Bombyx mori: one gene and its partners. The protein of the gene in region 1 interacts with the protein of each later gene in a pairwise test. Links are inferred from orthologs where the notes say so. Each region holds a gene or a part of one and is shown in the gene's direction. Other genes may lie near its edges. The genes, in order: STIP; methyltransferase-like protein 17, mitochondrial; bystin; histone acetyltransferase Tip60; leukocyte receptor cluster member 1 homolog; exosome complex component RRP46.

Region 1 (5,054 bases):
GAAATTTTATTTGATTCATTAAGTTCGCATAAGTTTATGAACACAGCAATTTTATATAGCAGATGATTTATATAAAAATGTATATTATATATAATTGATGTTTACCCGACATAACAACAAAATTTTTAAATAAATTTAGTGCTAAGCTGGCGGATTATTCGCCTCCAAAACTTCACATTCAGGGCGTTTTAAGGTGTAGATATCATATAGGCCAGCATTGATGCTGGTGGATATTTTAACAGATTTTACTGCAAATGGTGAAACTCTTATTATGAAGTGCTATCACATGTCCTAATGAAAATGGATACGTCCTTTTCCGTCCTAATATATAATACGTAAGTAAATAACTCCTGTAACTTATTCGTCCTTTAATGTAATTGAAAATTATTAAGACATCATTATACATGTCGATTGGCTAACTAAAAATTGACTTCGATAATTTCTATCATGGTTATGAATTTTAATGTAATTAAAACAACGTGAATTTTAGTTTTGTTAAAATAAGTAAAATTGGCAAAGGCACAAAATTATTCTAAATAAATGGGACTGTGAAGCACAATTGTAATTTGTAACGTTTTATACCTGAATTGGAAATTTAGGAAATAAATTATTGTCAACAGTGGTAACATTGTTTTATTTAAGGCCCTAATCATACAGTGTATTTTGAAGGCGCAGACGATGCGCGCTTTAGAACGCGCGTTTTCGGCGCCGCGCCGTAGATGCTGTTTGTTGCGTTTGCACTAATAGTACAAACGTACGTATGAAGCTCGTTTACGCGCCTTTGACACAATACAAATGCACGTTCAAAAGGGAGTAGGAGGAGCCAATCCAATTCCATTTCCAGATTCGCCTATTTTTTCTTAAAAGTATTACCAAATACAACGTAGGCAATGTCTCAACCGACTCCATTGTTCAACTGGATTCAGGGAATCTCTGATTAACACACGGAAGCTACGAGCGACTATAGCACGTTTATATGGTTGCGCGTATTTGTGCAGTGGAAGCGCGTTTCACAATGGCCCCGTGTGCTTAGGTTACAAGGTTGCGTTCGAATCTCGAAGTGCGTATACGCGAGTCATCTGCGCGTCCTCTGCTCATAAAAAATACGCTGTGTGCTTAAGCTCTAAGAGTTGGAATAATAAAGTACCAGACCGCAATTTACCTGCTTTCGCTTGGATTTGGTCGCCTTGTTAGCATTAGTTGTTGATGTTTGACTACTGATGGGGTGGTTTGAGTTGAACCAACCAGTAATTCTACCCGACTTGTGTATCTTTCAAAATGTAGTGTATCTGTTCTTAGGTTATATATAATCTTACTCTATGGTCTGTTCAAAATATATCATTGATTTGCGGTAGAAATAGCCAAGATGATCGGTTTAAAGGATCCTATGTCATCTGTAATTAAAAATTTTTGAAGATTTTCGGGATTAATTGATCTTTCTTTTTGTTGTGACTCCTCTTAAAAGTCACCTGTGAACTTATAGTTGGTGTTTAAACAAAAAGAAATAAGCTTAAAAAAATTCAGTACGATAAAATCGACTAAGCTATGAAAATTAACCACAGTTCTAATTCAACATCTCTAAAAATGCTAAGCTAATCATTAGTGTCAAGACTGTCAAGTGTCACCATAAAGTTGTTTATAACCAAACAAAATAATTAACAATATTTATAACCAGCAAATCAGTCAGTTACGATTTTTATTTGTAACAGCGTAATTAATGATGAGTTATTTTGGTTAAGCTTAATTTATACGTAACAGTAAAATGTCAGACGATGAGGTTATAAAGTTTGAGATCACAGACTACGATTTGGATAATGAATTCAACCCCGGCCGTGGAAGAAAAGCTAACAAGGAACAACAAATATACGGTAAGTTACGTTTAAATACAAACAATCTAATTAAAACTCCAGAATATTCTAGGTGGTGCCACTACATTCAAAACATTGTTGTGTGATAGCTATGATAATTATAAAAATTCTAAAGTTTATAAAATGAGTTATTATAAGTTTCGTATTTTATAAAGCATCAAATGGTAGAGCTTCAACGTACCAAATTTTTTTCAATTCCGTAAATAATTCCCATTAGATTTGTATGTAATTTCAAGAAACATGCTCTGTCCGCCCATGATAATAAACAAAATATACCATGATCATTATAGTTTATTATAATAAACTAGTAAATTACTGTTTTATCATGAATGTGTGCATGAGTTTGAATAAAAATTTGATATTGTGCATGAAAAAATTTAACTAATTTAAGAAACAAGTAGGCAGCTGTTTTGATCTCTCACTTGAAAGAAGATAGCATTATAAAATATTCTAAGCAGATCACTTATGATATAGTTTCTAGTTTTTGTTTGATAAGCACTTCCATAATTAAGTCTCACATCTAAAACATACTTAAAACAGTAAACATTCTTATTTTAAAACCATCAAAGCGTAGCTAAAATAGCCCCTTAGGATACCAGCGATCAGGGAGGGAAAATGTGTTAGTTGTTTATAAGTATGAAATCTAATAACGTGTTCAATTAACCATTTAAACTCATATGTTCCAATGTCTAAATGTTTCTGGGATTATGACGACTGAGAGTTCATTTACACCACAAATATCTTATTGACTTGATTAAAATTAGAAAAAAAATTAATTAAAAATCTATGAAGCTTTCATGCATTGTTTTAAATGAGAATAGCTAATTGTAACAAAAGCAATAATATAATTAACTTATAGGTGTATGGGCCAAAGACAGTGATGATGATGAAAATGAAGATAATGTTAGACAGAGAATACGTAAACCTAAAGATTTTTCTGCACCAATTGGTTTCGTGGCGGGTGGAGTTCAACAGGCTGGCAAAAAAAAAGACAAGACTAAAGGTAACAAATACATATTCACTTAATTTTTCAATTTGAAAACTTAATAAAGTCATTTAAAGTGATTTAAGTATGGTATTTTATCAGTCTTCATGAACCGTAGACATAAATAAAATCACTTTTATAACCAAGTTATCAGTGACCACACTGTAACTATACAAAAAATATGAGACAACATTTTTATTCCAGTTGTACAATACTGACTACCCTCCACGTTGTTTCCTGAGCGCTATGACATGTCCTTCTTCAAACAAGGCTTCTGGAGAGTACTTAACAGTAGGCAGCGGTTTTGTCCTGCCCTTGGCATTGCTGAAATCTATGGGTGATGGTAACCACTCACCATCAGGTGGGCCGTATGCTCATTAGCCCACAGGGGCAATAAAAAAAATGCCAAAAAGGTACCTTCCGACTTGACTTGGCTGTTCCATTGCTTCATGATTGAAGCATAAACTGAAGGCTCCACCATTCTTTAATGTTATGTGATTTTCAATACTAAAAAAATGCATGTCGTGGAATCAGTTCATGTCAACAAAAGTAATTTTTAATAATTTGACAGAAATAAAACCAGCTGAAGCGTCTACTTCTGCTCCTAAGTACTCAGACAGTTCTGATGAGGAACCAGAGGTTCCAGTAGCGAGTGACACGGCGGGAATCAGGAGACAGGGACAGGGAATGCGTCCACCATCATTAGGTGGAAATGTGGGAAATTGGGAAAAACATACTAAAGGAATCGGAGCAAAATTGTTGTTGCAGGTAATTAATTAGCTATTGCTCTTTGATCCTGAATGAATGAGCTATAAGCCACTGCAACGTTAAAGTTCATTCGTATTGTTTGACAAGTCCGTTGAGTATTCGTTAAAACGCATAAGCGGTATACGATTTTTTGCAGTACAAACGACATTCGAATGGTTCTATATACAACGTATGTGCCGCTATTCATTCGTTAAGACGTATACTGCAAATAAACGTGCAGAACAATGCCGTAAACCCAGCCTAAGGGGCTATTTCAACTACGCCCAGCAGGAAGCGGCCGATAATTTATATAATTAGTTCTTAGCCCTCATTTGCATCTAGCCTTCTCACTCTTACGAATTTTTATAATTCATTAATTTAATAAACGTTCCACATTTTTGGAAATACGTGAGTTTTGATTAATATAATTTCTTTCTTACAGATGGGATACCAACCGGGTAAAGGTTTGGGTAAAGATTTGCAAGGTATCTCAGCGCCGGTCGAGGCTACGCTGCGCAAAGGCAGAGGTGCGATCGGAGCTTACGGACCAGAAAAGGCAACGGTGAGTTTCACAATGCACGTCATTAGAGTTTAATGAATACAAAAAAAATGTATTTGCAGTTGTACGGATCGCAACTTAAAACTTGCAATTTTTTTTCCTACCTATGCTGATAGGCTTGAGAGGCTATTTCAGCTTCACCCTAACGTGTAGATGAGCTCACGGGGCTCAAACCGGAGTGTTGCTAACACTGGGCCTAGCAAGAGCAGTGCCAGTGCTTCGCAGAATCTACCACCGGATCGGAAACGCGATCCACTGAGAGCATCCGTTGACTGCCCCGTAGTCTATATTAGGGCGGTGCCAAAATTATTAATCACTGGTATTTAGCATATAGAAGAAAAAAAACCCATTAACGGTGCTTTTAGGTACCACAAGCACCGGTCACCGTCCTTGTCGAACCCGTCGCTTGCGACTAAGAGCTGAGCGAGTAAATTAACCCACAGACAGCCCGCTGAGTTTCTCGCTGGATCTTCTCAGTGGGTCGCGTTTCCGATCCGGTGGTAGATTCTGCAAAGCGCTGCTCTTGCTAGGGTTCATGTTAGTAACATCGTCAGGTTTGAGTCCCGTGAGCTAACATGGTCTCTCTAGATCCATCAGCTTAGGTAGGAAAAAAAAAGTCTTCACTTCTCAATTCGTATGTCTCTTTTTCTTTAATACAGATAAAAGCCAAAAAAGAAGAGGAACGTCGCATCAAAGATAAAGAAGATCAGGATAAAGATAAAACCGAAAAGAATTACAACTGGAAGAAATCGCACAAGGGTCGTTATTTTTACAGAGATGCCGCTGACGTCATTCAGGAGGGTAAACCGACAACGTATACCATAGCAAGGTATGATAGAAGTACGATTGGAGAATATTTTACTGGTGGTAGGACCTTTGTGAGTCCGCACGGGTA
Region 2 (4,249 bases), on another chromosome or scaffold:
CTCGCTGGATCTTCTCAGTGGCTCGTGATTCCGATCCGGTGGTAGATTCTGCGAAGCACTGCTCTTGCCAGGGCTAGTGTTAGCAAATTCTCTCAGGTTGAGTCCGTGAGCTCACCTACCCGTCCGGGCGAAGCTGAGATAACCTCTTAGGCTACCGGCGAATAGGGAGGGAAAAAAATAAAAAGAAGTGTGATAGTTTAAGGCGCCGTTTTTAAAACCTTTCCACTTGCTACTGTGGCGCCACCTTCATTTACTCCCTGTCGACGGACACTTTCTGCACTTAAAGTTATAGTAAAATAAGGTAAGGTCAGAGAGAGAATATATTTTATTGCACACCAAAACACAATTAACATTTAAAAAAAAACAGTTTTTTTTTAAACCTAAGCTGGTAGCCTAGAGAGGCTATTCCAGCTTAACCGTAACTAGTAGGTGAGCTCACGGGGCTCAAACCTGACGACGATGCTAACACGAACCCTAGCAAGAGTCGTGCTTCGCAGAATCTGCCACCGGATCGGAAACGCGATCCACTGAGAAGATCCGGCGAGAAACTCAGTAGGCTGGTTAAACAATTGTAAAGCAGATACATTTGTACAATAGGCAGTTTTATCGTTAAAAGCGATCTCTTCCAGACAGCCGTTTAATTTACGTAAGGTTAAATAAAGTTTTTCTGATGTTTGTATCTCTTAGCGCACGCAGTAATACTACATTTTTGTTAAAGCATCTGTTATTTTAACTCTAATAATATCTTTTAATTCTTACTGATGATGAACTAGTCATTACTGTTTGTTAAAACTTTAAACGCTGGAAAAACAAATGTTTTTGGTTATGCTTCTAGAAATGGAGAATATGATGAAAACGCTCGTGCAAATCTTGGTTGCTCGTGAGCGTTTCAACCAAGGAACAGGCAGCATTAAAGACTGTAAATAAATAAAATAAATATTATTTATATTCGGCAGCGGCATTTTCTCAATATTATAGCGACAAATTATGATCGTCAACCAACAGATGTTGCTCATGAGTCATATTGTGGGTGATTGTAGACACTATGAGCTGAGTGTTAGTTCATTACGTGAATAATGGATTATTATAATCATTTAACCTTAGCATTTTGTATTGACAAAGCTTTTTGTTACTATGCGTGAAACGGAATACAAGTTATAATGCAACAGAATATAAAAGTAACTTGTAATTATACGCCAACAGCATGATAGTTTCAAATTTCCAATATAATACGTCAACTTCTCAGCTGATTTGTTTTAAGGTTATGTTCTTGTTGTGCTACAGTTAGACCAAAAAGAAATTAATATTGCCACTAAAACGTATTTCATACGAAAATATGACTATAAAACCTCGAGAACAGATCGGCAGTGATGATGATCCCGTGGAAGGCATGCTGAAAAAAACTGGCTGTCTGGAACTACACTATAAAGTGCAGGTTTGTTTTAAAAATGATTCACGTAAGTTAATTTAACTGTATTAAATATAAAAATGCAATACACTGCTAATTTAATATACCGACGTGTTTTGAGTCACATTTGAAAGTTATAATATCTAGGTTTGTTTTTATATTTTACTTGCTGACCCGGCAGACTTCGTAGTGCCTCAATCGATAAATAAAAGACCGACGGGGAACACATTTATCTACATTTTAAACCTTCTCTGGACTTCCACAAATAATTCAAGACTAGCCAAATCGGTTCAGCCGTTCTCGAGTTTTAGCGAGACTAACGAACAGCACTTCATTTTTATATATAGAGATAATTCAAAGTAATTAATGTTTGTTTGAACATTTTTAGGAATGCATCGCCGAAACGAAAGACTGGAGAAAGTGTCAAACCGCAGTTAATAATTTCAGAGATTGTATCAACAAACATAAACAGGAAGAAATAAATAAAAATAAACATTAAATCATGATACGATCGAATAAACATAGTTTTATTTCAATTTATGTACATACTGTTAATTTTATTTTAATTTAATACTTTTTAAAATTAATAGGCAGAAAATCGAAACCTTTTGCTTTAACTTTCAAGAATCGAAAAACATTATGTTTTGACAGTTTGTTGACAGTTACATAGATTATATTTCAGAATGCGTTTTGTTATGGTTTGTTGTGATGATCCGTAAAGTACTTTAAGGTTACAAAAATGTTTCGTAAACTCAAATATTCACATATTTCGTCTTTAAGCGCCAACTACTCAACCAAAGTCTCAATAGATCCAAATTTAAAGGAAAGCTTTGACGCGCAGATCTATAAGCCACGGAAACATCCAGGAACCAATCGTGTAAAAATAGCATCAATACCTGCGGATATTCGGAAGGCAATTAAAATAATCCTAGACGATGCACGAGCTAAATCTTTACATCAGGAGAGCATTAAGCTCAAAAACCATCTGCAGTCTAGGCTACTGCCGCCAGAAGAAAAGGAAATTAATTTGAAAGCCGCGCAAATTCACGACAGCATTTCACAACGGACATTCTCTAAAATAAACAAAGAATTGAGCCAGGAGGAGTTGCAAAACATGAAAAAACAGGTACAGAATACTGTATTTAATATATTAAAAACGAACGTGTACCGTTGGGGTAATATATCGTACGATAAACCTACTAGTCTTCAATATTTGATGACCAGGGCTGCCCCGGAATACGCTGTCTTGGTTCGCGTATTAGATGAGATCAGAAGGGTTTTACCAGATTACAAGCCACGAAGCTTTTTTGACTTTGGTTCCGGCGTCGGAACCGGTACATGGGCACTGAACACATATTGGAAAGGAGAAATTTATGAATATTTTTGTGTCGATACATCGGCTCACATGCACGATTTGGCACGCTTAATTTTGTGTGAAGGCAAGGACAACGTCGAATTACCGTATAAATGTTATTACCAGCGTCAATTTCTACCTGCTTCCACAGATCTGAGGTACAATATAGTTTTGTCCGCGTACTCATTATTTGAACTACCCTCGATGAAATCAAGATTAGAAACAATACAAAAACTATGGAACAAGACCGAAGATTTCCTAATAATCATCGAACACGGAACAAATGCCGGATTCAGAGCTGTAAACGAAGCCAGAGAATTCATTTTGAATCTCCCAAAAGACAGCAGTAATAGAGGTTACGCATTCTCTCCGTGTCCAAACGACAGTGTTTGTCCAAGATACCTCGACCATCAAACTCCATGTAACTTCTTAATGAAGTACGAATCGCTAGGCTACCATTCAAAGTCTGAAGTTTTAGCAGATTTGTACACATATGTTATTTTAAGGAAAGGTGATCGACCAAATGACGATCCACAGTGGCCTAGGATTGTAAGGGCTCCGATTGTCAGGTCCGGACACACGATCTGTCGGATGTGTACAGCACAAGGAGAGTTAAAAGAAATTATATTTTCTAAAGGGAAGCACGATCAGACTATGTACAGATGTGCTAGGTCTGCTAATTGGGGAGATCTTTTACCTATAAAATAAATAATTACAACATAGATTAATGTTTTTAGTTTAATTACAAACACACTAGCTTTGTACACAGTATTAATAAATACTTTACATTATATTATGCATTTATCTGATGCGATGGAAGTCAGAAGGATAAAATCTATACTAATATATAAATCTACAGTGGTTTTTACGGATGTTCCGTTATAACTACTGAACCATGCATCCGATCGACTTGAAACTTGGTATCCATGTAGAAAATACATGTTCTTAATGGATAGGCTAATAGTTATATGAGTGTTGGACTCCCTACACCAGTTGCGGGGGCGTTAATGATGAGAATCTTTGTGGGGGTGAGAAATAATAATGTTAATTTTAAATGCCCAGCGAAGCGGACGGGTACAGCTGGTATTTATACATTTTGCTTGATAATTGACCTTGCAGCAGATAGTACAGAGTGTATTTACCTTTTTTGAAAATCACAGATCATGGGAGGCAGAAGTATTACAGATAGATTGAGATAGATAGAATGAACTGTACATATTATAATGGAAATTGGTATTAAGTTGTTATGGTAGCCCGTAGACACTGAAGCATTACAGCTCTCCCGTAGGCAGGAGTGCCACACTAATCCACGGCAGAAATAAGCAGGAAGGTGTTTTTATGATGTACTGGCTCAAAATATATGTATGACTGTAAGCAGAGAACGTTTTAACGAAAATATTGAATTTAGTACCGTTAATAAATAATAACTGGGAACAAATCGTGTAAATCCGGCCCTAATTTAAGATTTCCTATGTTATTGGTAACAC
Region 3 (5,201 bases), on another chromosome or scaffold:
TAAAACTTGATTACATTTAATTACTTATGATTAATTTTACTTGGGAAATTTATCAGTGACAGATTTTTCTTGTAAGTTGTGAGACAATTAGAAAATATGTATTTCATCACCTAAAATTAGTTCAGCGCAATCGAACAACTCCGAATGAACATTGACGGACACCGCGCTACCGTGCACATGAATGTAGTCCCAAATGATTCTGTTTAAGGGAGAGTAAGCACCTGGTCTAAATTCGAGCGGGCGGGCTTTCTTATAAACGGTTTATATTACTTCGTTCTTGGTAAGTACTTAGGGGCTGATATTTTTATCTGGGTTAAGAGATTAGGTTATTCCATGGATTAATCAGGTGGACCCCCACTATGACAAATATTAATATATTTTATTATGTATTACTTCGACATTTTTCTCCACTTTGAGATTTCATTGTTCTTGTTACATGTCTGTGCAAAGCCGAGTTACTTATGTTAAATTGCTTAGCTATTTCAACCAAAGACTTATTCCCAATTTCATAGGCTTATAATGCTGTTTTTAATATTAAGGGATCATTTATCTTATAAGGCTTTGCACTTTTTTATACGTACACGCGAGGCATATTTAAAAATAGAAAACAATACGTAACTGATTTGCCAAACAATAAAATAACACTGCATTGATAATTTTGAATAAAAGTTCTAGACAAAAACATCATGAATAAACCAGATTCTTACCAACATTTAAAAAATATTGTTATAACTACATAGACAACCCTACACGCCTGTACCTATTTATACTTAGGTCGTTCCCATTTAACTTATTCTCATCCCAATTGCCCATCTCGTTGTTATTTGTACCTCAGACGTCCCCAAAAACAACAGATTTTTACATGTTTTTTTATATTATCAAAAAACATTAAAACCAATAACAGTTGAGACTTACTTTTAATACAATATGATGGTTCAAACACTAAATAACGTTTATAAATCACAGTTGTCTTTTATTATTATCAAATAAATAAAAGAGAGTAAAGTCTAGCACTAAAATAATTACCACAACAAGAAGAATAAGATAGCAGCTATTATCATGCATATTCAGAGTTGTTTTGTGAACTTTTATTACACTACAAAAAATGGAAGATTTTGCAACGATTAAAAAACTAATATTGAGCGTCGAAAGATTTTCCTGCTTTTCCCCATTCACCTCTCAAACCCCAATAACCCCATTTTTCGGTATATCAAATTTCAAGTTAATCCGACGTTTTGAAGGGGGTCAAAATCATGTTCAAAGATTCCGTTACAAACTATCTTTTATTAGCTTCAGACGTATGTAACGTCTGAAGCTAATAAAAGCGTATTAAAAAAAAGGGGTGCGTGTACTTATGTACGCGCGTAAGAAGTTATACTTTATTTTTATGATTATTATTTTATTTTATTAATAGCTACGTCAGTCGTATTGTAGTGAGCGATTTAGTGAGCAACTTCATTCTGTTAATTTTGTGTCACGGTGCGCGCGCCTAAAGAAGTATAACTTCAAAAAACGTATGTATGAATTTTTTATTTGGCTACAGCGTGTATTATTAGGTTTTTTTAGGTATAGTAATTTATAGATGATCATAGTATCTCTGTAGGTATTTTGGACGCCCGCCATTATTTTCTAACTTTATGGTTAGTTTTTTGTCTTTTATGCTTTAAATTTAAATCATAGTTTTTCAAAATTTTCAGTAATGTAAAACTTTCAATATAAAGCCGTGGATTTTATATAATCCTCAGTAAAATTAGTGACAAACAAAAGATTAGGCTGTCTAGGCTATGTAGGTTGTATAGGCTATGTTCCCTTAACTCGAAGACATTGACAATGTCATTACAGCTGCAAAAATTTATGACATTTTCTAACTAAAAAAACAACAGCACATGGTAAATCTTTGATAACGTTTACAATTTATGTTCCGCAGGAACGGTTTTTGTATGTAGTATTAAGAAAACTGTGGTGTTTGTTAAAAGTTTCCTTACTGACCATTTAGTTGAAACTAATATGGGTAAAGTTAAAAAGTTGAAGCCCTCACAAGTGGGAAAAAATTTAGCTCTTGCTGATCAAATTGAATCTGGAAATTCAGTCAAAATTAAAAATAGGACCAAAGATAGAAATAGGCACGATGAAGACGATGAGGTAAATTATGCATACTACTTTAAATTATTTCTGTAATCTATTTAAGTATAATGTTTTATTTATTTATTTTGTTATTGCTTAGATTGTTGGACATGTCACTGCCCGCCTGGTGTTAAGTGGTTACCGGAGCCCATAGACACAACGTAAATGCCGCCACTCACCTTGAGACATGAGCTTTAAGGTCTCACTTTTAACAGTACAAAGGCTGCCCTGCCCTTCAATCAAAACGCATTACTGCTTCACGGCAGAAATAGGCCGGGTGGTAATGTAGGCATTAGGAATCAAAAATAGGCAGATGGCAGATTCTTCTTCTTCTTCTTCTCCATCGCTCCCTCATTGCTGAGGATCGTGACTCCGTTTTAGCTTGTCTACTGTTAGCCTCCATCGGTTCCGGTCAGTTGCCTGGTGTAGTGCAGCGCTAAGTGGTCCGCTGGTTTGCTCGGAGATCTGGTTGGACCAACGTTTGGGGCTCCGGCCTCTAGGACGTTTTCCTTCTACTTTCCCAGTGACCATCAGACGTTCCAAGTTGTCTACACCTCTGCGGGCAACGTGCAGATGGCAGATAATGTCCACAATAATCGATTTTATATATTTTTTCAGTTTGTAAAAGCAGATTTGTCTAAAAAAATTTTAAAAACTGCTAGAAGGCAACAAGCTGAACTAGAAGACAATGAGATTGGTCCGTCTCCAGCAAAACATGTCACTCTTGTGTCAAGCTTTAAAGGTAAAACATTCTTTTTTTTTATGTTGATAGAATTACTGGTGGCCTGGAGGCCTTTCCAGTTTCACCAGGACAGGTGGGTGAGCAAAGGCTCAACCAGGAGGGGTGGGATTTGCTAACAGCTGCCCAAGCCCCTCCAAAGGAGACCTAACAACTCAAGAGCAACTGCTTCGCGAATGAATCTACAACCGGATTGGAATCGCGACCCGCTGAGAAGATCCGGCGAGAAACTCAGCAGGCTGATGCATGGCTTAGGTTGGACGTCGACTTCTTTGTTGAATTTGACGAGTACAGTTACCAGGGTCGCTTAGCCTGTTCCTAGTGTTAGAGCTGAAGGCATCTAATGCTAAGGTTATTGGATCTGATGGATCCGTAAGGACGTGTGTAAAACATTCTATGACAGTGTACATGTACAGTAGAAGTAAACAAATAGTGAACAGTCATTTTTGTTATAATGCAATTAATTTCTCAAATGTACCTTGTGAATGAACTGAAATTATTTTCAACTGCAATTTAGATTTGATAGTTAGTAATTCCACTTGTTGAAAAATAACTAAAGATATTATTTGTTAGATAAAGGATCAGATAGTTCAGATTCAGAGAAGGATGACTTGGAACCTGACACATACTATGATAACATTGAAATCAACGAAGCAGATGAAGAAGCACTCAAATTGTTCAAATCATCTAAAACAGAAAGAGTTAGAACTCTAGCTGATATTATAAAAGAAAAAATTACTGACAAACACACAGAACTACAGACTCAGTTCTCAGATGCAGAAACTTTAAAATTGCAGAATATTGATCCAAGGTAAGTGAGATTGATAAAATTTTTGATCAAAATGAAGTATTACAATCTTTGTATATAAATTTTGAATTTCAGAATAAAAACCATGTATGAGGGCGTAAGGGATGTACTCCAGAAATATAGATCAGGCAAATTACCGAAAGCTTTCAAAATGGTGCCACATTTGCAGAATTGGGAGCAAATTTTATACTTAACAGAGCCTACTACTTGGTCAGCAGCTGCTATGTATCAGGTTAACAATAAGAAAATACTAATAACAATAAATTTAGTAGTTGAATAATACTTAAATGTCTGGCGTTAATGAATGATATTCGGAAAATCATAGCTTTAATCAGAATTGAAGGCTTTATTTAATGTTATCACATTATTCATTATGATTATTGGTTTGCAGGCAACTAGAATTTTTGCATCAAATCTTAAGGAGAAGATGGCTCAGAGGTTTTATAATTTAGTTTTACTACCACGTGTCAGAGATGACCTTGCTGAATACAAAAGGTTGAATTTCCACTTGTACCAAGCATTGAGGAAGGCCTTGTTCAAACCTGGTGCTTTTATGAAGGGAATTTTACTACCGTTATGTGAGGTAAGATGCCAAGTTTGGGATTAAAATTAATATAAAAGTGATGTGTTTTGTACAACACACTGTAAAGGAGTGAGTCACAATCAAAATTTTAAACAAATAACTTTTATTTTTATTCTCTTGTCTTCTCATCTCAATCACATAGTTAGGCCCAAGCCAAACAACCATTGATAGGAAGGTATGCTTGGTATTTGTTGAGTAATTTTTTCTGTTATTTTTAATGGTCCTATTATGTGATTCATATTGCATTTGATTGTTGTTCATTTTGAAGAAATTTCCTGACTTATCCGCAATTGTTTAGGTTTGCTGCCTTTTGTGATAGGTAGTAGGATCATTATGTTAATTGATTGATAAAGCTGTAATTTGATATCACTCCTGTTGTTGCCAATCCTGTGGAAACTAATGTTACTCTTTGGATAAGCCAGAAATGCTTGTGCAACTTCTTATTTCAGTTGTGCATATTTGGACAAGTATTCAACTATTTATGACCGTGCATTCCATGAATGGATATTGCAAATAATATTTCAGTTTAGGTTTTTTTACTAGTGTAATAATATCTTGTTGATAACAGTATATTGTTAAGTCTGACAAAATAGGTCTATCAAAGTATAGATTTGTTGTAGAATTTTCTAGAATAGTTTCAGGATTGTATTTGTAGTATGGTTTAAGTTTCTATGAGATTGTACTTTGTGGGAACTGATTGCACTTTGTGTTTGGTGAATTAAGTGGAAAATAATATCGAGGAGTGAAAGGATATTTGGTTTAAGCGATATTTTTGCAACTTTGCAGGAGTACCATTCAAAGTTTAAATTTTGGAAGAAAAATCCGAACAAAAAAAGTTCTTCAGATATTTGAATTAGAGTAAACTTAATTGAAGTTCAATTAAAAACATTGAATTGTTGATGCTAATACCAAATAAAACGGATCTTTAATTACAATGATTATGATGA
Region 4 (5,195 bases), on another chromosome or scaffold:
CGTCTTTCGTATAAGCTTTTCAAAGAACTAATAGAGCTGATCCTCCTAAAAAGGAGGATCCTCCTAAAAAAATTATTATTCCGTCATACCTTCTGATGCCGAAAAAAAATTCATAATCACGTTGCTTAATGTGTTTTTCCAAAAATTTTCCTTTCATTATTCGAGACGGCATAGATCAAGCCTAAATATGGTGGTACAACGTTATTGCCTAATTTCGTGACTGCAAAATACATACATAGATATTACATTGTAAAGTAGCATTTGGATGGAGCAACAAAGCCATTTTTCTAAAGCTCAACAAGAATCGACAGTATCCTTCTCCACAGACTTCATCCTACAATTCAATGAAATGCTGTCAACTGATAGCATAGGCAGTTAAATGAATATGAATTTACGGGCTATCATTATTTGTCTCTGTAACAGAGAGAAAATAGAGTAGTCTGATACTGAGCTGGTACTTATTTTTCAAGTGTTTGATTCACATGAAATGAAAGTTTTGAGTTCATCGTCTAAAGGATTTATCGCTCGGTACATGTGGTTATGAAGGTATTTGGTCAGGGTGATCATTGAGTTCCAGTAGATCCAAACACAGACTATAAAGAATGTGGACAGTTCTGCTCCTAACATTTTACCCGCAGTCTTCAGTCTACTCGTGATCAAGGCGCTTGCAACAGGACATACCTATCGGGAACTCATTAGGTAAATGTTCATTCTTGGTAAGAACACGTTAAATAATAATGTGTATAAAACAAGGTTAGTTTTTCCTTTGAAGTTAACTGAGTTAGCCTACGATCTCGACAGGGCTACCCAATCCACGGGCTACGGCTCACAGCCCAGCTAAACGTGCTTATTCCCACCTCTCCTGGCTGAACCTTTGCTCGCCCACGTGTCCTGGTGAAACTGGATAGACTTCCAACAGCTATTTCTCAAACATAAAAAAACGATTTTTGTTATTGGTGTCTATGGAGCGAGGAGTTAATGGAGCGAAAAGTCTATCTATAACTTATCCAAAGTTGCTCTCGACAACATCTTCAGAACAAAATAAAATAAAATTTGCTTCTAACACATGTTCATAAGCAACTTCTGCGTTAAAAGAATGACAACGTGTAAAAAATTAAATGGAACCCGCGAAAAGTTTACAAATGTAATTATTTCCTCTAGCGGGGTTCACCACAGACTGCTAGACAAAATTATTAGGGTTTTAATACTGCCTAGTAGAAAGCCTAGACTTTCTCCACGTGCCCATGTCGCCAATGACAACATCTATAAGCCATTCGAGACACTCTGATCTTCGATCACGCGATTGAAGGGTTCCATTACTCTATGGCTTAATTTCTATCTTATTCGTGTGTATTAAGATTTTTTGAGAATCAAATAAGATTTGATTCTCAAAAAATCATGTAATCCAGTTTTAGCGCACGAGGAAATTAACAAAACCTGCTTTTACTCAACAACCCAACGGCGCATCTCTTCTCGGTGCCTCACATCACGGCTCATCAGTTTGACGTTTGTCAAGACGACCAGCGGTTCTCTAATCCCTCCCGCTTGGATAGGGCCGTTAATACTCCCGAGATACTCCGCTAGGTCAAAACCAGCAAAACAGAATCACTTCTTTTACACAATGAGTAGTTCAACCTTTTGAGCCGAATGCGATACAAATGATCCAAAGCAAAGTAAGGAATTAGTGAATTGATATAATTTCATTTCGTTCCATTACACTTTTTACATTGCTATTATATATTTGTGTTCCGGTAACTATTTGAGACAAGGTAAGCTGTGACTCACGAGCACATTCGCCCATATATGCATTACGAAATAGCTAAAAAAACATATCAATGATTGGTATCTGCAGATTTACGTAAGCGCTAAATAATACATAATCGGTAGACGCTTGAACTCTCAATATTTATTACATTTCAATTTTCGTTACCTACTAGACTAATCACTTATGAATAATATTCCCTTTGCCTATTTAATGTCAGATTGACTGCAATCTGATTACTTTGATATTGACAGCAATGACAGCTAAGCATTCAAAGCAAATAGCTATTTTTGTGAAAAAATAATATTATTATTTTAAAATGAACGAAAATGATGATGAATTGACAACATTTTGTGATTCAACGGTGATTTCCGCTTATTTAGAATATATATGTGATATAATACCGTGAGATTAATTTATCATCTTTTTGTTTTAGTCATCGCTTGTTGAGGGATGCCGTCTTCCTGTTCGTATGCAAGGAGGAGACGACTGGCCACTCGCCGAAATTATAAGTATTAAAGAAGTTCAGGGCCAAAGAGGATTTTACGTGCATTATGTTGATTGTGAGTAAATAATGAACGGGTATGTTTGTTATTCATTTTGGAAAAATTGTGTGTAACATTGATAAGAAATTGACTGTGATGCTAGATTAGCAGCTAATTACCTATATCTATAAGCTTTAGTTTTGTTATATATATGGGAAATTTCTAAAATAAAGCTACTTACCTATGTTGAGACATTTTATAAATTTATAACTAATGTGAGCTTGTTATCATATGTGTAATTGATAAACAATCTAGTAGATTGAACTTAAAGGATACTTAAAAATGTTCTACAAAGGCACATGTCTAATTGAGATCTTAATTTAAAAAACCAAAGGGTGGTAAATGGACTAAAATCCAATTTAGTAGCAGAAAAAGCAAAGAACACTTGTGATAGGGTGTCTTGTAAGCTTGCATACGTATGTACTAACAGAATAAAAAGATTTTCTCCTGTTTTTCATGAAGTGCTTAATTTTTTTGAAATTAGACTTAAACATAAAAAATTTTTCAGTTAATAAACGTCTCGATGAATGGGTGGGTGAATCTTGGTTGGACACTCGTAAAGTCCAATTCCCTCGACGGGATGGAACAGCAACAGGTGGTACAACTACTCCAAAGAAAACACTCATTGGATCAGGAGGTGGCGTTATGCCTACTTTTATTAGTATGTGTCTTTGTTTTTAGAGCTTAATTAATTGTTATGGTCATTTCACTTAATTTTAAACAATTCAAAGTTCAACTTCACAGATAAAGAATGGGATTTGGTAATAAATTGCATGATTTATATTACTCTACTATTACTCTCTACTATTACTTGCTATTTTTCCTCCACCCGACAGTTCATGTTGGACTGGATAAAAGCAGTAAAACAAATAGAGTCCAAACTTTAATGTGTTATAATTCTAGCTTTAGTTGATGTTGTCTTGAATGCTATAATTAATATAGTAGAATATATTTGTACTTTTATTTTGTTACTGTATGATTCTTTGTTTTGCCCAGTACAATGTCTCGTGCCAAGTGTAGGTTAGTTTGTGTTACCAAACATCCATGATCAACCAATTGGCAATAAAAACAAAATTTTGTCTGCAGATGACACAGTCTGCAATGAGAATCAGAAGTCTAGTAATGCTAGAACTATAACAAATCAACTGACCCAACCCAAAACACATGAAAAGGCCCATTTTAGCAATGCACTCAATGGTTCCGCACAAAAAAATGCACTTGGTAATGTACCATAATAATTTATTTTGTGTAATATGCTTTTATTTAGGTAGATATGTCATGCTTTTATTCTTAAAACAATAAATTTATTTTTTGTACTTTTAAACAGTAGCAGTAGTAGCTACTGGTATGTATAATGTGAGCATCATTGATGTTATTCCAAATGATTGTTTAGTTACCAACATATTATTCAACATGTCAACAGCTTAGTAGCCATCAAGTTGTAAGCTTAGAAATAATAATAGTTTCTTGTTCCCTTATAAGCACGTTTGAAGCTCAGTTGTGAGAACCAGTAATACCATAGTCCATATATTGAATATGAATATTTTCTGTCATGGTAATATTTGATTAACATATAATGATCATGTTAGTAATTATTACCAATTAATGTGACAACTAAGCAATTTAGTATTTTCTTCGGTTTTCGCCAGTCGTAAATATAATTAAGGCTACTTTTATACCTTAATGTCTTAACTGTGTATGACGAGTCATCCGTGACATAGAAAACAGTAAATTATTCATAACTACAGTAAAAAACGACAGATTATACTTTAAAAATAGCAATTATAATGAAGCAATTGTTTAATTTTGGCGTTTATTTATTGAAAGAAATATTGTAATTCTATTGACGTGAAGCCCTATTAATGTGAAATGCTGCAGTATTGTGTCAAATCACTCTTAATTTAAAATACTACATTCCCGGTTTTCTGCACAGCTGTGGTTGAACCAAGACAGTTGGTGTCCCGACCCGCCAGTCCGACTCTGGTAAATGATTCTTCGTCACTGGTCAATGGAGGAGCTGTCCTCGCAGCAGCCTTACAGAAAAAGATGAACAGAAAACGCAAACCGCCCTCTTTGGATAATGACGTAAAATATCAATATTAATATTTTTTATTTATTTATTGCTTAGATGGGTGGACGAGCTCACAGCCCACCTGGTGTTAAGTGGTTACTGAAGCCAATAGACATCTACAACGTAAATGCGCCACCCACCTTGAAATATAAGTTCTAAGATCTCAGTATAGTTACAATGGCTGCACCACCCTACAAATTATAATTTTGCGGGTTTCACTTTTATTACACGATGTTATTCCTCCATCGTGGAAGTCAATCGTGAACATTTGTTGAGTACGAATTATCATCAGAAAAATTGGTACCCGCCTGCGGGATTCGAACACAGGTGCATCGCTCAACACGAATGCACCGGACGTCTTATAACCTTTAGGCCACGACGACTTCTTTGTCTATGTCTAGTCGTTGTAGGTCTTATGTCCTGTCAAAGAGGTTGCACGCCACGACACTATCAGAGGTAATGTTTGTCTCATATAGGTCAGTTTACATTCGGAGCCGTCACAAGAAGGTGAAGCGGACGCGACGGCCAGCGGCACGGCGACGCCGACGGCGCGCCCGCGACAGTCCGGCAGTCTGGTCGCGCACGGACACGACGATCTCGTCACGCGGATGAAGAACATCGAGATGATAGAACTGGGACGGCACAGGATACGACCTTGGTACTTCGCGCCATACCCCCAGGTGAAATGCATTGTTAATTAATCGCTATCGGCTTTAAATATTTGTTAATTAATCGCTATCGGTTTTAAATATTATGCATTTTATAGAGAAGTCTGTTTTTCACTGTTGACCTCTGTGGGCTTCAAGAAGACCAGGTG
Region 5 (5,153 bases), on another chromosome or scaffold:
CGTTCCGTGCTCGAGGCGTGGTCTCGCCGCCTGGCGGACCCCGCCTACGGGCGACGGACCGTCGAGGCGATCCGCCCGGTCCTCTCGGACTGGGTGAATCGCGACCGAGGACGTCTCACCTTCCGAGCGACGCAGGTGCTCACGGGACACGGCTGTTTCGGTCGCTACCTGCACCTCGTCGCCCGGAGGGAGCCGACTCCGAAGTGCCACCACTGCAGTGGCTGCAACGAGGACACGGCGGAGCACACGCTCGCGTACTGCCCCGCTTTCGCGGAGCAGCGCCGCGTCCTCGTTGCAAAAATAGGACCGGACTTGTCGCTTCCGACCGTCGTGGCTACGATGCTCGGCAGCGACGAGTCCTGGCAGGCGATGCTCGACTTCTGCGAGTCCACCATCTCGCAGAAGGAGGCGGCGGAACGGGAGAGGGAGAGCTCTTCTTCCCTCTCGGCGCCGTGCCGCCGCCGTCGGGCCGGGGGCCGGAGGAGGGCGTTTGTCCAGCTCCAGCCCCTATGAGGAGGCAGTCTCCTCCCGGTGATGGTCACGGGGCGACCTAAGGGGGTTGAGGCTGCGCCGCACGCTACCGTCACTCTAGCGCGCTGGCACCAGGAGGACGGGACGGCGCGTCGGCGGCTGCGGACTGCGATGCGGTCCGCATTTTCGTCGTCGCTGTCGTCGCCGAACATACTGTTGAAGAGCAACCCGGTCGGCGGTGTATCGCGTTCCGACCCGGCAGGCTGGTTCTGGCCCAGCGGGGTATCCCGGAACACCAGCGGCACCGCCCGGGCGGCCTGGTAGGGCCGCCGTACCGCGGAGACTGACGTCGTTGGTCGTCGACTATCGCCTCGACGACCCGTCAGTCGGGCGTCCTCGGGGTGGCGCCGCGTGTCTGGTTGTAGTGTTGACCGCGGGAACCCCCCTACTCTGAACGGGTTCTGACCCCGGACGGAGATCGGACGTCGGGTGTAAGAGTGCAGGGAAGTCGTTTAGTGGGTGGGCCCTAAAATCCTTGGGCCCGCGATCTGCTCTCAACACCTGCAGATCGTTGAGTCTCACATACCCCGCGCGCCCCCTAGGCGCGGGGACCTCGTAGGAGGTTCGGCCCCCGGCCCGAAAAAAAAAAAAAAAAAAAAAAGGTGATAAAAACCGTTACATTATTTTAATTATTCAATTTAAAGAAATAATCGGAAAAATAATGGCCATCCCAATTTACCCCGCATTCGGGGTAAATTGACACGGGTAAGGGTTAAATTGGGATATTTGTAAGGGTTGTCAGTTCGCGGTACTGCGATATATAGGTAGGTAGGTAGGTGCCATACAATTATTTATATGGACCGAAATGATGAATACAATCCATAATTTAAGCACAATACACAACATAGTGTAAATTAAGCTGGTTTCTATTCCGAAGCGATGTGACGTGAATGATAATCAACAATACAATGATCAAAAAAAGTATGTGCATGTTATATTTTAGAAAATTATTATTTAATTTCTTAAAAATCACAACTCTGAAACAAAATCATAAAATAGAATAAAAAATAGAAAACAAAAGGACTGGAAATGCAATAATACAATTTTATTTAATCAACATTTTCAAAATAATCTTTGAGCAAGAGTAAGATATCAGGTGAATAAGATAAAAAAGCAGATTTATCTGATTACTGCCTATAATAACAAAAATAAAAGAAATTCTTTCTAAGCTAAATAACTAAACTCAATTAATTCACTCACTCATAATTGGAACCTAGATATCTCAGATTTTTAATTAATGTTACATTTAAAATCTGAGGCCTGTTTTTATTTGTATGTGCGTTGTGAATGTTAAAAAAATCATGATTCGACGCCTGAATAGATTCTGAAATAACAAAAGTTTTGATTCGTTTGAGTTCTTTTTAATTTTTAATTTTATTTTATTGCTATAAAGGACATACGACCAGGCAGATATTACAAGGTAAATGTCGCGAAAAAATGTAATTATATATATACTTTTCTTTTACCTATAGTACTTACATAAACTAACTGATAAACACATTAACCTTCTTTACATCACGCAATTGAGTGATAGTATAGGCTAAAAAATCTATTATAAGATATCAGTGACAACCCTAACAATCCATCCCTATTTTGTCTTTTGGCGTTCCAATTTTGTGTTTTCTCGTCCCTAATTTTTCCAGTCTCGTTCCAAATTACCCTACATACGTCCCAATTTTCCCCAAAAAGAAAGGAAAAATTATACATTTTTTATTTTGTCGAAATATTGTATTTAAAATAAGAATATTGCAACTTACCGTTTGTTGTGGTATTTCCAGGTGTATTAAAAACTTATATAAACTGTGATCTTATTGAAAAAACAACGATAATATTACTTTTTTTAAAAGTTCTGTAAGCTGTTTTAAAACGCACTTTTCAACCACTATTTTCAATTTAATTTGACGAATTCTTGGGACCAACTTAACTCATATTTAGTACTTCCATAGTTAACTTGGTTTTTCTTCTATACATTGATAAATATTAACATAAACAAAATTAGGTAGATTCCGTGCTACAGGTACTTTGAGAATCTTCAGCAGGTTTGTCCCAATTTACCCCATGTCATGGTACGTACAGTTACTGTACAGTACCGTACCTACTCAATATTTTGATTTTGTAAACAGAACTCTGAACAGAACAGAACGTCCAAAAGAGTAGGTGTAGGTGGCCACTACGTGCGTCAGTCCTAGAAAATACACTATAGTTACAGATTTCAATTAAAATTAGAACCTGAATTTATTCTAAATTTCGAAAGTTTAATTGAAAATAATGAATATCTTGCCAAAAAAAAGGTAAGTTGAAACATTTCGACAAAGAGAGTATTATTAGTTGCTCAAACCTTGTCATTATAAGTAGAACAAGCGACATTACGATCGGATAGATTACCAATCTTCGTCTGTGTACCTTACTCAGCTTCTCGTTTTCTTCTCGTATGCCAACTACTGAGGACATGCATGCATTGAGTAATTCTAATAGCACTGTGTTGGATGATATACTGGTCTATATCGATAGGAAAGCTTATTAAAACATAAATCTGAAGAAGCACTAGTGTCTAAATAAGCTAAAATGGGTTTAAGTTAAAGTTAAATTTGATCAAAACAGACATAAACTCTATATGACACTATAGGCGTTTCATCTGCCCAACTACAGCAATCCTGTGCATGTACCAATTTTTCTAATAGATGTACTTTCCACGTGTTTACGAATAAATAAATAACATCATGCAATTAAAAACCAAATCTGCAAAACCTTATAATTTGTCTATTTACTGGTAAAAAATAAATATGTGAGCCCGAATGAAAGTACAAAATGAAACTCACATTGTGATGTCTGTGCTCTCCGCTAGCCACTTAACACCAGGAGACCCATGTCCTCACTCTCCAGTCTGTGCCAGTAAATAAACAGCTTATTACATTATACGTTTTAAAAATATGATTAGGAAATATAATTTTAATGAAGTTAAAATAATATAGATAATTAATTAGTAAAATGTGAGAATGAATGATTAAAACTATTTTGAAAATATGAATGATTTTGATCTTAGTGGCCCAAGGGACTTATTAATATAGAGTTCTATATCCCTATATCCACACTATTTGACTTTATCTTTACTCTGTAGGTGGCATGTTCGGACTAAGGAAAATATTGCAAGGGTTAGAAAGGATGAAGCAGAAGCTGCAGAGAAGGAAAAACAAGAAAGAATAAGAACAGAAACTGCAGATAAAGAGTCAAGGCTCAATATACTAAAGCAAAAAAGCAAAGAGAGATTACTCAAATCAGGAATCCCACAAACAAATGTAGGAAAAAGTGAAATTATAAATGAACATGTCAACTTATTTGCAAATCTTGAAGATGCTATTAAAACAACAAACAAAGAACATGATAAAGAGGTAAAGGCCAAACAAGAAGAATATGAAAAACAAATTGGCTATTTAACTTATCTTGGACAAGATACAAATGAAGCTTTAAAAAAGAAAAATTGGTATGATGTTCCACCAGAGGCTTCTAGATATTCACGCACCAATGACATAAAAGATACCTATAATAAGCTAGTTTTGAAAGATGAAGATGGAAAACCAAAAACAAATTGTGTGGAGATTAAAAATGGAGAATTCGCTTGGAAACAGAAGCAACGACTAGATCCCATGAATCACATAAAAAGAAACAAAAGTTACAAACTTCAAAGTAACGAACCAAATACAAAGGTACATAAGAAAAACAAAAATCGTAATGACGAAAAGTGCCCAAAAATGAAACTACAAAAACTAAGAGAAGCTCGCCTTAAGAGAGAACAGCAGGAAAGGTGTAGAACAGAATTATTTCTAAAAAAATTAGGTGGGTTTGGTGAAAGTTCAACAGAAGAAAACAATGGAAAAAATAAACTGAATATTATTCCTAAATATAATTCTCAGTTTAACCCTGAATTGGCAAGACAGAATTATAAATGAAAACCATAATATTGAGAAATAAATTGTACCATTGCTAATAACTGGATTGAAATAGACAAAATATGGTGTAAGTTAGAATTACTTACACATACACAATAATTTAATATAATAATTTCGGAGTGAACCAAGAAAAGTTATTAACACTATCGTAATAAAGTGCTAAGTATCAAGTGTCTTTGCTGTTTGAAACAATTGAGCATGTTTAACCAAAACTAAAATCAATGTCATGAATTAAAATATTATTTAATAAAGTATTGCAATCAACACATAACCATAATATAAATAAATATATATGATAATGTTTAATCACAAATATATAGCATGACTTGGTTATTTAAATCAGTTTTCTTCTATACTATACGCATCCTTGTGCATATTTTATGACAATGTACAGTAGAACCTTGCCTTGATGACGTAACAACCTCCATAAATTCATATAATTTTGTATTCCCTTCCTCTCGGAGTCCAAAACCTCTTTTACTTAAAATACGAAACCTCTAAAACTTAACGAATAATTTGGGAATCGTACCTCCGTAACTCAAAGTTGTAACCACGACGACCTTTGTAACTTCAATCTTACCTATATCCATGAGTTATTTTAAATGAACGTGGTTCACTGTACGTTAGGACACGTTAACAGAAGAATAAATATACCGTGGTGCTGAGAGCGATGAT
Region 6 (5,161 bases), on another chromosome or scaffold:
GTCAAAAATAAGTTTGATAAACAGCTATCTTCTTGCATTAACAGCGTTAGACATATTATGAAATTGCAGTATTTTTTTAAACATACTAATATAACTGTGATCATATGATTAAATCAAATTACCTTTGCAGTTCTGTGATCATGCATATGATATCGTATGTATTGAATCTCGTCTTCATTTTGCGTAATGTTAATTACACTATTAAAAACGGAATTAAGAAAACCAAACTTTGGAATTGGAATACAAGGATTTTATTATTATATGATGTGTCTATAATTACAGCCATAGATCGGCTAGCTTTACGAACTTTATTGTGACATTAATTTGACAGCCATATGGAATCTGTGTTCTTTTAATATTTTATGAATATTTTGGCAAAGACAACGACCACCAAACCTACAATTTAGTCATATTTTTCTGTGACGTGAAAAGTGAAATGGAATCCTTTTTTAGGAGCTATCCTTAGCTAGTAGCAATAAATAACTACAATATTGTGCACAAATTTTAGAATATATTATGAAGCCTATTAAATAAACGTAACTTTTTTGGTGGTAATTTACAAGTATGTTTAACGGTTTCTTCTTTGTACTTTAGATCTGTACTACTGCTAAGTCCTTGTTGTAAGAAAAAAATGAAAATACCCTTCTCGGGAAGAAATATCGGGCGAGTTTGAATAGCTAATACAAGATTTTCGTAATGACTGTTCCAGTAAACACATAACATAGCTCCCTTCAATAAAATCAGGCTTCCTGGTGGAAGTTAATAACTCGTAGAGTGCTAGTAAAGCTTTTCTGCAGAACGCTACTTCTCCTGTGTTTGTTCTTGTTAAGTTGAGTCATTTATTTAAACTAGTACACTATTATGATTGTATTTTATACTTCTTTACAAATTTCGCCAAGACTACACTTTAAAAAATATTAACAAAGACAAACAATATTTAATCTATTCTCAATTTGACAACAAAAAGAACAAAAGTTTAACAATAAATAATATGCATGCGTGTGTGCGTCAAATACATGGTATGTAGTGTGTGTAATGTTTTCTTTATTGATTTAATGTATCTTTTATGCATTATTTTAAAAAAGATTAGCATTGTGCACTTCTTCTCTATATTCTCTATAAGTGTGGAAAACTTCATACTCCTCCTTCCGCGCAATTTTCGTAAAAAGGGATACACAGTTTTTGCTTCACGTATTAATATATAGATCTCGAAGATAGAGATTTTTTTTCAAAAAACTTAAAATATTGAGCACACTGAAAAAAGTACTAAATTGGGATAATGATTCAGTTTTTAAAGATGAAAGATTATGATGAGTTGGAACCTACTCTTGCCGATAAGGGCGTTGTGTCAACTCAACTTTAAAAAACTCAGACTAAGGACAATGTACCTAAATAGATAATTATGTACTCCTATTTTGGACTTTTTGGCGGGAACGCGAGTAGCAAAGTTGTGAGAATAGTTTTATTTTGTTAATTTAATGTTTCTTCATGTTTAAACATGTACTAATGGATGTTTATGAACTGTTTAGTATCTGGGAAAGTGCATAAATTTAGGTAAATAAAACAAAGTCACCGGACGTTGATCCTCGGGATCTTCCAAACAGTCCACTGAAATAGTCTTAATAAGTCTTAGTTTTAATTTAATTCCAATTAATTAATGTTTGAAATTAATCAACCTAATTTCATTTCATTTTCATATCGTCTTCATAAAATAGAATTTACAAAAGATTAGGCTGTATGTTTCAATAGCTTTGCCCTTCTGGTTGTAAAAAACAAACGAATACTACTGTCAATGTCATTCTCACATGTTTTCTCAATGAAGTAGGAAACCTATATAGGTATATATACTATATAGGTCTATGTGTTTTCTATATTTTTCTTGTTATTAAAATAAATAAAGATCATCTTTGAATTTTAGAAAATCAGAAACCCAATTAGCAATCAAGTTTCATTGTACTACTTCAAGATATATTTAAACATTTGAACGAATTAAATATGGTGACTGATATGAAGGATGTACAGGATTTTAAATTAAAACCTATGAAATGTGAATTCAACTTCCTGAGCAAATCTGATGGATCAGCTATTTTATCACAAGGTAAAAACAGTTTTATGCCCTATAATCTAGCTGTGGTCATTTTACCGAAACTCTTAATTTAGGTACAACATGTTAAATAATAATTTAGTATTTTTACAAAAAATAAGTAGAACAGTAAGATTTTACGAACATTCAAAGTTCATCGTCTTAAAAAGTACAACAATGTTAATTAAAACTTCTTGGACAGAAAATCGTTCATCAAAGCTTGTAAATATTTTTACAGGGGATACTGTATCATTGGTGAGCGTAAATGGACCTTTAGATATAAAGATGACCAGTCAACGAATAGATAAGTCAACTCTTGAGGTTTTGTTCAGTAATAAGAATGGGAAACCGAGCGTGGAAAACAGGTAATGTATTAGAGCTATATGGCTATTGGAAATTAATTTAATAACAATATTTGCTTGTCAGTGGTCATTTGTATAATAATAGATGAAATCCACCGTTCGGTTTTGGAATGAACTACCCTCTGTGGTGTTTCCCAAGCGTTATGACATGTCCTTCTTCAAACGAGGCTTCTTTGAGAGTACATAATGGCATGTAGCTGCTTGGCTTTGCCCCTAACATTGACGTTGGCGTGAGCGAATGTAACCACTTACCATTAGGAGGGTCATATGTCTACAAAAAACATAAATTTGGTTGTCATTAATGAATGTATTGTTTAAACATTACTAGATACAACAGAGTTCAATATGGCAGATACACAACTTATTGATATTCTTGCTTGATCTTCTAAGTGAGTCACTTTTCTGACATGGTAGATTCAGCAAAGCACTGCGACTCTGTTAGGGTAGACATTAACAAAGTGATTGAGGTTGATCCCCATAAGTCTTCCACCAGTCTCTGTTGATGCTTCATGAAAGGTTTCTCAAAGAAACATCTGTAAGTGATGTTAAATTGTGGAATATTTTCAAGAAATAGGTGTTACAGTCGATTGTTGAATTGTAATCATATTACATGTTATTACAGATACAAAGAGAATATAGTGAAACAGACATGTGAAGCAGCAATACTTGGTTCTCTGTATCCTAGAACTGGTATAAATGTTACTATACAGGAACTAGAAGATTATGGTGGTGTGAGTACTGATTTGTATTTAACGAGGGTGAATTGGAATTGTTCCTAAAAATGAAGATTGGTGGTATTGGAAGTACTGGTGATTAATGATCTATCTGCTTCTAGCATGGAGCAGTTATGATCTGCCTATTGCTTTTAAGTGGGGGTAGTTCTTCACTCTCAAGCTTTCTACACATGCTTCAGGCTTGTAAACAAAAATAATGAAAAAAAAAAACGAAAATTGTTTTAATTGATATAGATAATGTTTTCTGTTAATTTCACAGATCATTTGATGAGCTCAACCGATGTAAAGTGGTTACCAGATTTCAATATGCTACATATTTAATAGTGGCCAAATTATTTTTATTATTAAATGTCAATGTATTATTAAATTGTGAATTTATTATTAACTAGCTGACCCGGCAGACTTCGTAGTGCCTCAATCGATAAATAAAAGACCTAAACTTTTGTATAAAATAAACTTAAAACAAACAAAAGGAATCCGTCCGACGCGGGACACAACAAAGGAAAAACAAAATTGTTATTTTTATTTAGTTCCGAGCATTTTCATATTTATTTACCTTTCAAACCTTCTCTGGACTTCCACGAATCATTCAAGACCAAAATTAGCCAAATCGGTCCAGCCGTTATCGAGCTTTAGCGAGACTAACGAACAGCAATTCATTTATATATGTACTAGCTTTTGCCCGCGACTTCGTCCGCGTGGAATAGTTCACGAATAATACAGGGTGGCCCATAAGTCCTTTGATATGAAAAAAAAATTATTAAAATAAAACTAATTACATTATGAATTAAATTTTTATTTACATAAAAAGCTTAAAAAACGGGAATTATTTTTTGAAAATAACATCTCCTAAATGTAATCCGTTGCGAACACGGCACTCTTGCAAACGACGTCTAAAATTGTCGATGACTGCGCGGCACGTCACTGCTGAAATGCTTGTCATTTCTCTGCGGATGTTTTCTTTTAGGGCCTCAATCGACCGCGGGTTTGTGTCGTATACTTTAGCCTTAAGGTAGCCCCACAAAAAAAAATCCATCGGGGTCAGATCTCGACTACGTGGAGGCCAGGAAATGTCTCCTCTCTTAGAGATAACTTTGCCAGGAAAAAGTTGACGGATAACGGGCATAGCAGTGTTAGAGGTGTGAGAAGTGGCCCCATCCTGTTGAAACCACGTCCTGGCATGTAAATCTTTCTTCAAAATCCGTTGTAACGATGTCCTGGATACGTTTAATGCTCTGGCGCGCTTACGAGTTGACTGTGTCGGATTTTCGCGAATAGACTGTGTCACTGTGTCTATGTTTTGTTCCGTACGTGACGTCCTTGGGCGACCCAACCGCGGTTTATCTAACGTCGAACCGGTCTCCTCGAACTTAGCAACCCAGTTCTTAATCGTTTGAAGAGTTGGAGTGTCGTCAAAGTTGTGTAAACCTTTGTGTTCTCGAAATTTACGCCGCGCAACGGTTGCCGAATTGTCGTTTTTATAAAACTCGCGCACATAAAACGCACGGTCCGCTCCGGTAAAACGCTCCATCGCGACTAAATTCCCAGAAACCGAAGTTACTCCCCCCGCTTCCCCTGCACCGCTCACGCGCGCCCTGTTCGTTTTATTCAAATTTTACTTTTCAAAGGACTTATGGGCCACCCTGTACTTTATTTTAAAACAAATTTGGTTAGCATAAAAAACGTTATACCTAGTGAGCCAACCATAACATATAGACATATGCTGTCGCGGACTTTTTTTTAGATCTTGTAAAGGGGAACAATTCTGTCATACATTATTTTAGCGAAACTTTAACCATTTCTGCAGCGCACGCAGCGGAAGCTCTCAAAAGGGAAAAAACCCCGATTTTGATACATTCTTTATTGGTGCTCCCTTTGCATTAGTCGTAGCGTGATGCTATATAGCCTATAGCCTTCCTCGATAAATGAACTATCTAACACTGAAAGAAGAATTTTTCAAATCGGACCAGTAGTTGCTGAGA

The links.
Region 2: the proteins of STIP (region 1) and methyltransferase-like protein 17, mitochondrial interact in binary tests that used the Homo sapiens proteins (3 or more experiments, as listed by UniProt). The link is inferred for Bombyx mori from reciprocal best matches to the Homo sapiens genes TFIP11 and METTL17.
Region 3: the proteins of STIP (region 1) and bystin interact in binary tests that used the Homo sapiens proteins (3 or more experiments, as listed by UniProt). The link is inferred for Bombyx mori from reciprocal best matches to the Homo sapiens genes TFIP11 and BYSL.
Region 4: the proteins of STIP (region 1) and histone acetyltransferase Tip60 interact in binary tests that used the Homo sapiens proteins (3 or more experiments, as listed by UniProt). The link is inferred for Bombyx mori from reciprocal best matches to the Homo sapiens genes TFIP11 and KAT5.
Region 5: the proteins of STIP (region 1) and leukocyte receptor cluster member 1 homolog interact in binary tests that used the Homo sapiens proteins (3 or more experiments, as listed by UniProt). The link is inferred for Bombyx mori from reciprocal best matches to the Homo sapiens genes TFIP11 and LENG1.
Region 6: the proteins of STIP (region 1) and exosome complex component RRP46 interact in binary tests that used the Homo sapiens proteins (3 or more experiments, as listed by UniProt). The link is inferred for Bombyx mori from reciprocal best matches to the Homo sapiens genes TFIP11 and EXOSC5.

Annotation. Positions count from the first base shown.
Region 1 is NC_085113.1:9,625,543-9,630,596, forward strand, and holds the start of STIP (septin and tuftelin interacting protein), read left to right. Parts: upstream 1-1,710; 5' UTR 1,711-1,762; coding exon 1,763-1,868; intron 1,869-2,727; coding exon 2,728-2,871; intron 2,872-3,403; coding exon 3,404-3,621; intron 3,622-4,042; coding exon 4,043-4,162; intron 4,163-4,818; coding exon 4,819-4,988; intron 4,989-5,054. UniProt on the Homo sapiens protein: Involved in pre-mRNA splicing, specifically in spliceosome disassembly during late-stage splicing events. Intron turnover seems to proceed through reactions in two lariat-intron associated complexes termed Intron Large (IL) and Intron Small (IS).
Region 2 is NC_085130.1:17,554,276-17,558,524, reverse strand, and holds methyltransferase-like protein 17, mitochondrial, read left to right. Parts: upstream 1-2,062; 5' UTR 2,063-2,147; coding exon 2,148-3,470; 3' UTR 3,471-3,486; downstream 3,487-4,249. Other genes in the region: cytochrome c oxidase assembly factor 4 homolog, mitochondrial, read left to right, coding at 1,337-1,435, 1,797-1,907. UniProt on the Homo sapiens protein: Mitochondrial ribosome (mitoribosome) assembly factor. Binds at the interface of the head and body domains of the mitochondrial small ribosomal subunit (mt-SSU), occluding the mRNA channel and preventing compaction of the head domain towards the body.
Region 3 is NC_085121.1:8,923,931-8,929,131, forward strand, and holds the start of bystin, read left to right. Parts: upstream 1-1,831; 5' UTR 1,832-2,007; coding exon 2,008-2,142; intron 2,143-2,742; coding exon 2,743-2,866; intron 2,867-3,436; coding exon 3,437-3,674; intron 3,675-3,746; coding exon 3,747-3,903; intron 3,904-4,062; coding exon 4,063-4,254; intron 4,255-5,201. UniProt on the Homo sapiens protein: Required for processing of 20S pre-rRNA precursor and biogenesis of 40S ribosomal subunits. May be required for trophinin-dependent regulation of cell adhesion during implantation of human embryos.
Region 4 is NC_085124.1:9,216,772-9,221,966, forward strand, and holds the start of histone acetyltransferase Tip60, read left to right. Parts: upstream 1-1,993; 5' UTR 1,994-2,081; coding exon 2,082-2,126; intron 2,127-2,198; coding exon 2,199-2,325; intron 2,326-2,815; coding exon 2,816-2,968; intron 2,969-3,393; coding exon 3,394-3,528; intron 3,529-4,240; coding exon 4,241-4,392; intron 4,393-4,854; coding exon 4,855-5,058; intron 5,059-5,195. UniProt on the Homo sapiens protein: Catalytic subunit of the NuA4 histone acetyltransferase complex, a multiprotein complex involved in transcriptional activation of select genes principally by acetylation of nucleosomal histones H2A and H4.
Region 5 is NC_085117.1:11,772,980-11,778,132, reverse strand, and holds leukocyte receptor cluster member 1 homolog, read left to right. Parts: upstream 1-2,028; 5' UTR 2,029-2,799; coding exon 2,800-2,822; intron 2,823-3,649; coding exon 3,650-4,478; 3' UTR 4,479-4,817; downstream 4,818-5,153.
Region 6 is NC_085131.1:1,263,564-1,268,724, forward strand, and holds the start of exosome complex component RRP46, read left to right. Parts: upstream 1-1,800; 5' UTR 1,801-1,838; intron 1,839-1,844; exon of another isoform or gene 1,845-1,918; 5' UTR 1,919-1,995; coding exon 1,996-2,098; intron 2,099-2,321; coding exon 2,322-2,448; intron 2,449-3,067; coding exon 3,068-3,176; intron 3,177-5,161. Other genes in the region: ribosome quality control complex subunit NEMF homolog, read right to left, coding at 123-178. UniProt on the Homo sapiens protein: Non-catalytic component of the RNA exosome complex which has 3'->5' exoribonuclease activity and participates in a multitude of cellular RNA processing and degradation events.